Xenopus tropicalis: one gene and its partners. The protein of the gene in region 4 purifies or fractionates together with the protein of the main gene of each other region. This does not show direct contact. Links are inferred from orthologs where the notes say so. Each region holds a gene or a part of one and is shown on either strand. Other genes may lie near its edges.

Evidence for each region.
Region 1: the proteins of nup62 (region 4) and nup214 purify together in Homo sapiens (affinity purification with mass spectrometry; 5 studies listed by BioGRID and IntAct, with this or other methods). This does not show direct contact. The link is inferred for Xenopus tropicalis from reciprocal best matches to the Homo sapiens genes NUP62 and NUP214.
Region 2: the proteins of nup62 (region 4) and nup88 purify together in Homo sapiens (co-immunoprecipitation; 4 studies listed by BioGRID and IntAct, counting the BioPlex papers as one, with this or other methods). This does not show direct contact. The link is inferred for Xenopus tropicalis from reciprocal best matches to the Homo sapiens genes NUP62 and NUP88.
Region 3: the proteins of nup62 (region 4) and nup98 purify together in Homo sapiens (affinity purification with western blotting; 3 studies listed by BioGRID and IntAct, with this or other methods). This does not show direct contact. The link is inferred for Xenopus tropicalis from reciprocal best matches to the Homo sapiens genes NUP62 and NUP98.

Annotation. Positions count from the first base shown.
Region 1 is NC_030684.2:12,374,864-12,378,363, forward strand, and holds part of nup214 (nuclear pore complex protein Nup214), read right to left. Parts: intron 2,919-3,500; coding exon 2,848-2,918; intron 2,751-2,847; coding exon 1,092-2,750; intron 1,005-1,091; coding exon 934-1,004; intron 1-933. UniProt on the Homo sapiens protein: Part of the nuclear pore complex. Has a critical role in nucleocytoplasmic transport.
Region 2 is NC_030678.2:105,080,629-105,084,128, forward strand, and holds part of nup88 (nuclear pore complex protein Nup88), read right to left. Parts: intron 3,128-3,500; coding exon 3,002-3,127; intron 2,407-3,001; coding exon 2,320-2,406; intron 274-2,319; coding exon 100-273; intron 1-99. UniProt on the Homo sapiens protein: Component of nuclear pore complex.
Region 3 is NC_030678.2:177,432,874-177,435,279, forward strand, and holds part of nup98 (nuclear pore complex protein Nup98-Nup96), read right to left. Parts: intron 1,834-2,406; coding exon 1,679-1,833; intron 1,603-1,678; coding exon 1,491-1,602; intron 224-1,490; coding exon 12-223; 3' UTR 1-11. UniProt on the Homo sapiens protein: Plays a role in the nuclear pore complex (NPC) assembly and/or maintenance. NUP98 and NUP96 are involved in the bidirectional transport across the NPC. May anchor NUP153 and TPR to the NPC.
Region 4 is NC_030684.2:38,701,771-38,705,270, reverse strand, and holds part of nup62 (nucleoporin-62 C-terminal-like protein), read right to left. Parts: intron 3,187-3,500; coding exon 3,052-3,186; intron 1,788-3,051; coding exon 1,676-1,787; intron 1,233-1,675; coding exon 1,166-1,232; intron 1-1,165. UniProt on the Homo sapiens protein: Essential component of the nuclear pore complex. The N-terminal is probably involved in nucleocytoplasmic transport.

The DNA of each region.
Region 1 (3,500 bases), about 26 Mb from region 4:
GAAAGGAAAACCAAACTGAACTAGGGCAGGTCCCCCCCATCTCATTCCTGTACTTTAATTTGGCCACCCCGGTCCCATGAACTTTTAAATCATAATCATTTACTGCTGGTCTAGTACTCAAATGGGCCACCCCTTTCCTGTCCTGGTACAACAGAAGCTACTGTTGTGAACCATTCACATTGGTATTAAGGTGAAGATACACAGAGCTTCCAGTAGCAGCTACTTGTCATAGCTACTAAAATAGACAATGCTGATCATTTACTAATAATTGTCTATACGTGTGTTTTAGCAGAGGCAATTCTCAGTATTGTCTATGGCAGGGGATTTTCTGTAGCTCAGTAGCCATGAAAAAGTAGCTGCTACTAGTAGCTCAGTGTGTCTTTACCCTTAAGGAGCTTGAATGGGAAGCACATGTGTATTGCAAGGCCCTTTATATTATAGACCCCAAGCACAGAAAGCAATTAAACATTGGGGTTTACTGTGAATTTATCCTCTTGTGGCATCAGCTCTGAAGCTAACAGTACATGGGGCATTGTGAAAGTTGCTGTAAGTAGGCAGAAAGCATAGAAAACTAAGGGAAAAGTGGTGCCTAAACTCATCCCACATAGGGGGAAGCCATAGAACAACAGTCTACCCAGGATAGGCAGTATAGGAACATCCTCTGGTGTCCAGATAAGTCTGGAACTTCCACAATGATGATTGATTGACGAGATCTTAACCTCCTGAGGACACTAGAAAAACTGGTCCATGTGCAGCTGAGCTTGGGGGTATAACTAAGATGGAGGTGCTTCTTCTCCTCTAGTGTCCTGCCTCCAAGTCATACAAGCTATACCCCATTGTTCCTGTCCCCACCCAACGAGATGTGAGAGAAAACAGTGTTTTCTCAGTTTGCATGGTACGTGTGTAGGTTACGATAAACACACAAATCCTTACCTGTCCAAAGACACTGGTGTTTCCACTCTGAGACTGACTGAACAAGGAACCAGAAGAGCCGGAAGCAAATCCTACAAAAGCAGAAACCATTATTGACTGGTACATATATTTGAAGGCATTTATAGCAAAAAAAGGGATGGTTGGTGACACACCCTTACCTGCTGGTTGGCCAAAACCAAACACAGAAGATGAGGTGGTGGTTGTAGAGGAGCTGGCACTTCCAAACACAGGGGCAGCTTGGGGGAATGTGGCACTCTGCCCAAAGACTGGAGTACTGCTTTGTCCGAAGAGTCCTCCTGAAGTGGATGTGCCGCTAGTATTGGAAGGTTGCCCAAAAGAGAAGGAACTAGCACTGCTTGTGCTTGCAGCACTGCCAAAAAGGCTGCCGGCGCTAGATGTAGCTGTTGATGCTGGTGGTTGCCCAAAAGCCGGCTGGGCCCCAAAAGCAGGCTGTGCAAAAGGAAAAGTATTTTGGGAGTTGGGAGGACCTTTCCACAATGAAGGAGCTTGGCCAAAGGAGGGCTGTCCAAAGCCTCCGCTCCCACCTGTCGTACCAAATGTAGATGTGCCAAATCCTGTACTGGCTGTTGTACTAACGGAACTGCTGGTCGGCTGAGCAAAAGGAGAGGGAGTTGAACCAGAAGCTACGGCTTGGCCGAATACTGGGGTGGACACCGCTGCTGGAGTGGACGCTGCACTTGCAGTTGATTGAGGAAACGCAGAACTTGCAGCAGTTGGCTGTACTGGTAGAGATACAGTCTGTGTGTTTTCTGCAGCGGGAGCAGCAGCAGCAACGGGGGGTGCACTTGTAACCAGCACTGGCACCTGGGAGGAAAGGCCTACAGCCGGGGTACTTGCTGAAGGGGTTTGAGATGCAACCACTGTGGATGTGAAAGCTACATTCTGACCTGAAATGACCGAGGTAGAGAGAGGGGGAACCGCCGCTCCTTCTACCTTTGCATCAGCTGTGGGAGGAATTGCAAGAGTTGGTACAGGTGGGGGCAAAACAGTGGCAGTTGTTGCTGCAGGAGTCACTGTGGCAACCTGTTCGGCAACTGACTGACTGGTCAGTGCTTGTTGCTGGGAAGTGGATGAATCTGCAGGTTCAGACACAGGTTTTATTGGCTGCTTAACATCCAGTCCGCTGTTGACAGGAGCTGAAGGAATTGTTGTTGCTGGGGCTGGAGCTGTGGAAACCAGGAGGCTTTGGAACGAGGCCGGAACTGCAGAGGTAGCTCCCGTTGAAGCGGCAGTGCTCTGTGGCAGCCCAAAAGAGAAGGCTGGCTTGTTGCCACTTTGGGTGAATGCACTTGCTGCAGATCCTGTACTTGTTAACTGCGCATTTCCAAATAAAGAACCAGAGGTGCTGCCGGTTGAGGATGGTGCTTCTCCAGCCTTCGCTGGCTGCGGAGCTCCACTAAAACTAAACAAACCAGCGTTACTGGGCAACTTGACTGGTTGTGCAGCAGGGGGCGCTTTGGCAACTTCTGCCTTGGACGCCTCATCAGCCTGACCAACACGCAGGCCTGAGAAGCTTCCTAAAGTCTCTCCACCTGAAAACCCTTGAAATAGGCCATCCCCGGGTTTGCCGATGGCTGCAGCAGTGCTAGTAACGGTGGATGAGGATGACACGCCTGTAACAACACTAGGTTTGCCCAATGTGGATTCCACGGTGGAAGTACTGGAGGTGGAGGAAGCAGTTTTAACTGATCCAAAAGAAAACGATCCTTCTGCCCCAGGACCAAATAAAGACTTGCTGGTACCTCCAAACACAAAGGAGGATGGTTGGTTGGAATCCCTTGCAGCGGTAACAGAACCTGAAAAAGGAAAGAAAATTGCAGTCCATCATATCACCATGATAGTAGTTCAAGCAGAACAAGAACAGTAATATATATATTTTCCAGGGTGAGTTACCTGCAGAGCTGCCTCCCATGGCAGAGGTTGTAACAGGAGCAGAAGATACACTGTTGAAACTGAAACCACTGCTGTGAACACAAAAATGGAAGTGAGAGAATGAAGATGTTTTTTTTTCTTATAGTTACAAGTTATAAGCATTCATCTGCTTCAGGGACACTGCAAGCCCTGTTTCAGAAGTCACTGTTGGAATAGTTTAGTCGGACTGGGGGACCAATGATCCACTCGGAACCTAACTCAAGGGCCCACCACCCAGAAACCGCTGTTCCTGTTCCACTTTTTACTGTGCATTCCATAGTGGAACACATGGCAGCAGAGTCGTGCTGGCTGGGATCGCTTGCTTGCGAGTAGGTGGCAGGGCGACACAGGGTCCAGTATCCCAGTGGGCCAGTCCAACTCAGCCACCACTGGCCTCTAGCAGTAAAGGGCTCTTCCTCCAAAAAAAACATGCCTGCAATAGCATCCCATTTTCATTTCTGCTAACTCATAGCACACAATCTTGGCTGCTGTCGGAAGCTTAGCTACTCACCAGCAGCCCAGAGCACACTGAGCATGTGCAGTGTCACTGACACAAAAAGATGGCCGAACAAGAACCAAAATGGGGAGCTATTTTAAGGCCTGGATCATTACAGTTATAGGACGCCTGGACTTCA
Region 2 (3,500 bases), on a different chromosome or scaffold from region 4:
ATAAGATCAAAAAGACATACATTTAAGCTTCTTAAGATAAAAGTTTTAATGTACTGTATTTTCCATTTTTGCATTTTATTGTAGAGTAACATGTCCCACCTCTTCTGAAGATCAATGTACATCAGGTAGGTTTCTCCAGTTTCATATAAGATATAAAGAGGATAAGCCACCGTGTCTTCCTTATTATATTGTCCAAAACCTTTTGGAAGGGGTGTAAGTGGACCGAAATCACAAGCAACTGCAGTCTCACCAAGGGAGGCTTTATAAGATCGCCTGCAATCAAACACAAATCTTTTTACACTCCTATACATCACAAGCTGCAGTTCATGTCACACAGCCCCTCCAATAATATATCAGCATCTCTACAGTCAGCTACAGTGGATACTAAGTATACTAGTTCAGAGGATAAAGCATGTGAATATCAAAATAAACCAATTAGAATCTTTGCTGACCCCTTCTATTTTTAGATTTTACAGGAATCTTGAACAACTTGAAGAAAAGATTAAAAAAAAAAAAAAAAAAAAAAAATACAGCAGGATAGGGGTTGAAAGGAACCACAAAGCATTTAAGTTCTGGTGAAGGTTCCTGGTATACTTTTTTGACAAAACGTACTTTTACGCTGTTTAAAGTGCCATTAAACTGACTTGGAGAAGGTCCGACAACACACTGAACAGTTTAGTAGTAATTATACTACACCCACACAGCACTTGGATCACCTCCCAGGTGAGAATGTAGAAGATACAAATGGCTGAATTATTGGCCACTGCCTTTTTGTTCACTCCAAGATCATGACATCTCTTTTGTAGCTGTGTGACGTATGCCATAGTTGCACACTGCACTATTGCTTTACTGTAGGCAGCTTTTGCCACAATGAAAGAAGAATGGAAAGTCAGCATGGCATGACAAAACAGGTGCCCATTTTTGAATTTCTGGTTAGGAGGCAATCTTTGATTGCATAAAAACCACGTATAATGCCAAAAAGAGCCTCCTGTAGGCCGCCAGTCCACATAGGGGCTATTAAGTAGCCAATTAAAGCTCTTACCGCTACCCCAGGAACCCTTTTCATGCTTGCGTTGCTCCCCAACACTTTTTCCATTTGAATGTGGCTCACGGGTATAAAAGGTTGGGGATCCCTGATCTACATGGAGCCACGCCCACAGTAAAAAGACAGATGTATCAAAATGTGAGCTTAGAGCTTAAAGGAGACATATAGGATAATTGTAGGCAATTATGAACAATATATGGTGCTTGTTTCACTTTGGTGTAAAATTAATACTACCTGTAAAAATGGCCCCTTTATTGGAGCTTCTCAGGTCCCTGTCTGTGTTTCAAGTGAGGGGTGGGAGTGCCTTAAAAGCCAAAAGCACAGTAGGATGGAGATAGCCAATCACAGCCCTGCAGCCAAACAAGCAAAGACGGGCTTCATTTCACTTCATCAGGTCAGCCTACCTGCTGAATAGTTACTATCCTACAGTGCAGTGTGCTGAGTGCCGCTGGCCCCCCTGCACAGCCTTTCAATAAATCAGACTGAAACACTACTTTTTAAAGCACATTCTATCACATTCTATTCTAACACACTATTGTTTTTTTTCACACAATATGTCTCCTTTAATACATAACCCCCCCCCCCCACGTTCTGTTCATTCCTATGGAATTTTTAGAAGCATATTTATCAAATAATGAATTATAACTTTCAACCATTGATACACTTCTAAAAATCCCATAGGAATGAATAAAAACCTGGGTGAGTTTTTATGTATTAAGGTCTATACTCACATTTTGATAAATTTGCCCCTAAATGTTAAGATGGAATCAAGACTCTCTACAGAGGATAAATCATATTTAATAATAAAATGATCTTAATACAAAAATCTCCAGAAGACCCTACATCTAGTTTTACAAGACTGAGTTACAATTACAACACTTACTTTTAAATGAGGCATTGCAGGCATGATAGCCGAGAAGCTTGGTAAGTAGGTAAAAGCATGTTCAAAAGGCATACATGTCTAGGTAGTTTATCACCCCAGCAACATATACACACTTTCCCCAACTTCTTAGTATTATGTATTTAAGTTCATGCAGCTAAAGCTAGATTCTCTATTTCATTTTGCTTGCCATGGTAGCAAAAAATAAATTTTCCTGTAGAACATACAATACAGCCTTCTATCGTGGGGGACTATGGATAGGAGAAGATTAAACCAATTTTCCTAATAACTTAAAATTAATCCCACAAAACCGGCATATATATAGAAAAAGACCCAGAAATTTAGGCATAGTACTTCAATTTGGACAAAGCCAAAACAGTGTTACTAAGCATACCCATTATGGGGCAGTGTGGTTTCCTCTTCAGCACTGGAGAGGGAGATAACTTTTTCAGGTGTCAGTGGATCGTGAAGATTATATAATCTAAAAAAAATATATATATATATATATATATATATATATATATATATATATATATATATATATTGTAAATGGCAATACAAACATGAAAAAAAAAAAAAAAAAAAAGATATGCATACCTAACACATTAGAAAATGCTGGATACTGATCTACATTAAAATGACTGGATAATCCAGATTGCACTCTATTCTTATCAGATTCAAGGAGTTTTTTTTTTTTAAACAAATAAATATTACACCCCTTTAAAAGGGCAGCATTCCCCTATATATACCTATAAACAAAAACACAATAAATAGGACTTTTTTGGAAATGTATACTGCTTAATACTATTAAATGAAATAAGTATAACAGACATGCAGTTTTCATCAAACAGGAGCAAAGGTTTTACAGAAGTAATTTTAATCACCGGGAGCAGGGGGTGCCTAACATTTTCGCACCCTCCAGTGATTATTTCTCTCTCCTTTAAGAAAAAGATAAAGGAACCTGTTTGTGAAAAAGAATTACTATGCATTCTCTGCAATTTGGATACATGTACATATATGTATCCCTAAAACTGAAAAAAACCTTTGGCATGGTATAATAATAAATAATAATAAACCTTAATATGTTATCAGATGTCAGCAAAATTAAATGAGGTTCCTGGGTCTCACTTGGGTACCAGAGGGCCTGCTTCAGAACTAAAGAGGTAGAGCTTGTGAAAATCCTTTCAGCGATGGGGATAGCCCTGTTGGGGGATAAAATAAACAAGTAAACATTTGCCCAGTCCGATTTGAAAATCATTAGACTTAAAAGGATAGTGAAACATTACAATTTTAACAGGAACGTGTCACTATGCCAACAAAAATCCTAGGGATGATATACTTTTCTAATGGATGTGCCCCATTGCCGTCCCCCAGCTCACGACTAAATAACTTAGTTTGGTCTCATGGCTAAATGTTGAGCTGCTTCCTGGTTTAAGTTGTGCTGTGGGGGGCGGGGCAACATAGGCTGATGCACTGTTTACATTTGTCATCCAGCTTATCATAATGTTGTCCCATCCACAAGTGTGCTGACACTCATGAAGTTTTCAAGTTCAATCCTCGCAACCGACCAACACA
Region 3 (2,406 bases), on a different chromosome or scaffold from region 4:
AGGCGGGATCATTAGCTGCCGCAGATCAGTTCCCTTAGATACGACTGCGTGAGGCCTCGCAGCTCCTCCAGGGCGTAGTCTTCCGGCATAGGGAGGCGCCCGATGTGCGGAGCCAGCAGTCTCAAAGGCACGCGGGGCTCAGAGGAGGAGTCCGACATGGATTCCGGGGGCTGCTGCAGGCTCAGCACCACTCGAAGGATGTTGGCAACGCGTTTCGCCATTTCTGAGAAAAAAGTGTAATCGTTCATTAAGTGAATCATTTACTTAAAGGAACAGTAACCACAAAAGTGAAAGTTACAAAGTAATTAATTCATAATATAGTCGGGTCATTTCCCTATGGGACCAAACTGAATTCTATCCTTATAAACAGTGCTTAGTGATGTCATCAGTTATAATTGGAGCTTAGTGATGTCATTTTTGTCACATGGCTCACTGAAACTTGTATATATTATAATAAAGTGAGGTGTCTTCTAATATCCTTATATTTTACATGATCTGTATAAAAGCACTCGGCCTGCAGCCTTGTGCCTTTATATGGGGGGCACAGAACCCCTCAGTGACTGCTAATATCCTTATCATTTACAGTAGGGGGTACAGTATCCCTTATAATACATGAGTGATACTCAGAGTTCCCTGTATAACTCAGCCTGCAGCCTTGTGCCTTTATATGGGGGGGCACAGAACCCCTCAGTGACTGCTAATATCCTTATCATTTACAGTAGGGGGTACAGTATCCCTTATAATACATGAGTGATACTCAGAGTTCCCTGTATAACTCAGCCTGCAGCCTTGTGCCTTTATATGGGGGGCACAGAACCCCTCAGTGACTGCTAATATCCTTATCATTTACAGTAGGGGGTACATTATCCCTTATAATACATGAGTGATACTCAGAGTTCCCTGTATAACTCAGCCTGCAGCCTTGTGCCTTTATATGGGGGGGCACAGAACCCCTCAGTGACTGCTAATATCCTTATCATTTACAGTAGGGGGTACATTATCCCTTATAATACATGAGTGATACTCAGAGTTCCCTGTATAACTCAGCCTGCAGCCTTGTGCCTTTATATGGGGGGCACAGAACCCCTCAGTGACTGCTAATATCCTTATCAGTTACAGTAGGGGGTACATTATCCCTTATAATACATGAGTGATATTCAGAGTTCCCTGTATAACTCAGCCTGCAGCCTTGGACCCTCAGTGACTGCTAATATCCCTACAGTACTTTATATTTTCATTACTGTAAAACACTTTCTGGTGTTACTGTTCCTTTAAAATCATGGGTGTGTCCTGGGCATAAAGGGGCGGATCAGGAACATAGTTAGCTGTGGAATTTAGCCCTATTAGTTGGCATTTAAAGGGCAACTTGTGCCTGCAGTGAAAAACAGTAGACAAAGCGCCCATTCGCTGCTCCTGAGAGAGTTGGAAAGAACCATCATGGCCACACGGGGAGGGGTGGTAGCGCCGGGGCAGTTAGTGGAAGTTCTTACCCGACTGGGCCAATCGGCCTTTGGCACTGTAGCACTGGATCAGCTCGACCCATTTACACAGAGACATGACTTTGGTGTGTAACTTCTCCAACTCGCCGCCGGAGCACTCGTCCTATGAGCAGGGGAGAGAGTTAGTCTGTGCCGGCATGGGTTAATACAGAGCGTCCCACCAATGAGAGCGCTGTTACCTGGCGGATCTGGTTGAGCATCTCAATGACACTGATATAATCCAGATAGACCTTCCCCGCAGTCTCCCAGTCCTGGATGTGCTTGCAGTGCTCGGGCCTGGCCAGCTCCCCCAGGAACCCCCGCAGGTACCGGTAGTTCTCATTGATAACGGCATCTAAGCACACGGGGAACAACATCAGCCCCCATTGGTTGGTAAAGGTAATTCCCAAACATCCAAACTACAATTCCCAGAATGCTCTGACCCTTAAAAAAAATTTAAATATACTAAGGGCACGAGGGTTAAAGGGGTAGTACACTTTAAACTAACTTTTAGTATGTTATAGTGACCTATTCTCAGCAACTTTTCAATTGGTCTTCATTATTTGTCATTGTTTTTGAATGTTTTGCGCCTTCTTCTGCCTCTTTGCAGCTTTCAAATGGGGGTCACTGACCCCGGCAGCCAAACCCTATTGCTCTGTGAGGCTCCAGTTTTATTGTTGTTACTTGTAATTACTTATCTTTCTATCCAGCCCCTCCCCTATTTATATACCAGTCTCTCATCCAAACCACTCCCTGGTTACTAAGGTAACTTGAACCCTGGCAACCAGATAGCTGCTGAACTAAAAAAAAAAAAAAAAAAATATAGATAGAAAATGAAGACCAACTGCAATTTTTTTGCCAAGCAAACGGAACACGCTGACTCATCACTAATTGCGAGCCAATGAAAGAGCGCCAGTAAATAGAAATC
Region 4 (3,500 bases):
GCGCGCAACCCGGAAATAGTAAGAAAAATTGCCAGGAGGCTCTGTGAGCTGTCGGGGGTGCCTGCGGCTGCCTGGTCCGTAAGGTTTATTTATGTGAAGGGGATGGGGGGGTGTTTGGGGTTGGATGGGGGGTTGGATGGGGGGGTGTTTGGGGTTGGGGGGGGGGTGTTTGGGGTGGTCACGTAATCATGCATGGGGAAAAAAAAATACCGTCAAATACCGTGATACCGATATAATAAAAAAAATACCGTGATATAAATTTTTGGTCATACCGCCCAGCACTAACTGCACCAATAGTGAAATTCTGTGGGCCATGCTGTGCCTGTCGTGAAATTCTTAGGCCAACACCGTACCGTCTGTGAAATGCAAGTGGCTCATGCAAAGGTCCATTTACTTTTTTTTTTTTTAGTTGCCCATATGCTTTAAGATCACAAAATGAGTGGATCTTTCGCTGATAAGCTCACTTTAATCACCTTGATCATCTGGCCCAAGGATCAAACGATTGGATGACACTGACATGATATGGGCCATAGGGATAAGGACCACATCAATGCACCAATGCTATCAAGATCTGGCTGATTATCGTCTGGGATAATGGGACGACAAGCTGCCACCTTCAGTGTCCAGACCATTTTAACTATAAATATTGTCCTTCCTTATTTATACCTGTTTATTAAAACTATGAAACAAAATCCATGCTTGGTTATAGGTGACTGCAATTCACTTCAATGGCAGGCGACCCAAGGGGTGACAAAGATTTCTCCACAAGAGCAAACAAGTATTCCATGCACCTCAAGTACAACTGTAAACAAGCTGTGCACGGATACCCACACACAAAATTGCATAAAAGCAAGCCAATAAACTACATGTTTCAAAGAACAAAGTGTTCTATTAAATGCCAGATGTAGTCCTTCTACTTCCTTTTACTTTTTGATAAATAGTGTAAAGCATAGCGCTATTCAATATAAAAGAAAGCTACAGCCTTTCTTTCCTGAGCAATCTATGAAGAACAGTTTCCACACAGCATTTTCAGCTTTGACCCAGAACAGCATCATTACTATTCTGCACAGAACAGATCCGATTTAAAATAAACAAAAATGCTATTATTTTATGGTATGCTAGTTTCCAATACAAACTTTGCGCAAAGCCTCATTCTTCAACTCACCACTGTTCTGATCAATCCACTGTAAAGAGTCCATGTGGGCATTGAGAATCTTGCATATCTGCTGGAGCTGAAGAAATACAAATACAAATGAACACTCCAAAAGTTAAAAGGTGATAATGCTAAGAGAGGCCTGACAGTTATAAAGTAAAAGCAGCCAGCAATGCAGAGTTAGTAATTGGCAAAGATGTGAGTAACCACTGTAAAAAGATAGAAGCATTAGAGCAGGGATTCTCAAACTATGACCCGCGGGCCGGATCCTGACCCCCAGGTTAATTTACCCGGCCACCACTGTGTCCTCACCCCTGGCAGGGGAGAGAATGCAGGAGTCGGCCATAGTTTGTCGGGGGGTGGTGGTCTGGCCGATCAACAGTCTGAGGGACCATGAACTGGCCCCTTGCTTAAGAAGTTTGAGGACCCCTTTGATTAGAGTGATAAAGTATGATCCAAGAAAATGTAATAAGAGATAAATAAGAAACATGAAATCTCTTCCAGAGAAGAAAGAGTACTAACCGGGTTTCCAGCATCCCCTGGCCCAGCTGATGTGTTCAGATGCTCTATAACCTCCTTTAGATCCTGGGCCATGCGCTTCAGCTGGGCATCAATGTTTTCTGCCAGCTTGTACCTGAAAACACACCAAATGTTTCGTAATTTCAGGATTACTCTACAGGTTACATAAACCCAAAGATAGCAAAATGTGTGCAGCAATGTAAAAATGTACCTGCTTGCTAAAGCTTGACAAAAAGAAAAAGAATAAAAAACAGAAAACACACTAAATATATCTAGTTTCACAGAACATCAGTACTGATGATGTGAATTCTGTGACTGCACAGCATAAAAAAAAAATACCTATAGAAAAAGTGAACAAAATCTAAAGAATACAGAGTTAATTTACAGCTAGTGTTCTGATTTATGCTGCAAGTGAATTTAAAGAATTTATACAGGTTATACAGGTATGGTACCCATTATCTAAAATGCTTGGGACCTAGGGCTTTCCGGATAAGGCATCTCCATACCTTAAGTCTATTTAAAAATTATTTAAACATTAAAACCATTAGGATTGCTTTGCCTCCAATTAATTATATCTAAGTTGGGATCAAATACAAGGTACTGTTTTATTATTACAGAGAAAAAGAAAATCAATTTTAAAAATTAGATTTGCTAATAATGTTGGTAACAGATGGCGTTCCTGTAATTCAGAGCTTTCTGGCTTATGGGTTTCCGGATAACAGATCCCATACCTGTACTGGAAAGTTACATACAATTATTTTTTTTATTTCATTATGCAAACCATTATTTTTCGGTTAATATTCATTTTTTTCAGAACTTCCTATCCCTTCCTCGAGTATATAACAGGAATGTAAAAGCATAATTTCATCAAAAAGGTCTTACCTAAGGCACATCACATACACAAACATTATTTCAGAACCGAGAACTTGTTTTAAAATGATTAAGCTACACTTCACTATCCCCCTCTGAGCAGCCTTTCTTCATGCAGAGGATTTAAACGTTGGCAGCACACTCCAGGTTCATATATATATATATATATATGATTTCATGCAGAACCGACAGTTAGGTGAAATAAATTGGGGTGTCCTTCCTTTGCTTAAACAATATATTAGACCAAAGTGTATTTATAAATAACCAACTCAATGACACAACCCTGCATGGAGTGAGTAGTAAAGGGTAACATGAATGATATGCAATTTTTATTCTTGAGGGAAACATTCTGAATATGTATTATTCTTATTTCAGGAAGATATTCACAATTATTTGGCCCTAACCATGCCTTCCCTTTCTCATAACCAAAGCCTACTTGAGTATAATCACAAACCCAGATCTCCTTGTATCTTATACTTCTTAGTTATTACATTATAATACTGGCTCACGTTTTCTCTCTCTCTTCATCTGCATGCTGGAGGTAAATGGTTCCGCTCTGCTCTTTCACAGATTCCTCCAGAGGAGTCAGAAGGTCCTCCAGTTCTTTTTGCTGTGACAAGATGAAGTCCAGTTCCTGATCCAACCTGATAGAAGAGTAGAGAGGGTGAAACAGACCCAATAGCTTCCAAAGAGCAAGCTTAGCATGCAGGTGTACCTGTTTAATCACCATATATTTCTACACAGCCAGACAGAAAATGAAAATACACACAGCAAAAACAAGATTTTACTTTCTATTGAATTGTTTTTGTTTGTGGATTTTACATTACTTTAAACATTGCTTTTTCAATCTGTTCACATACTTGTTCTTGTGCCTGCTGTGAGGAAGATGATTGAACGTGATGGACATACATCTTTTTTTCAATCTAACTTACTATGTTACTATGAAATATACAGAAAA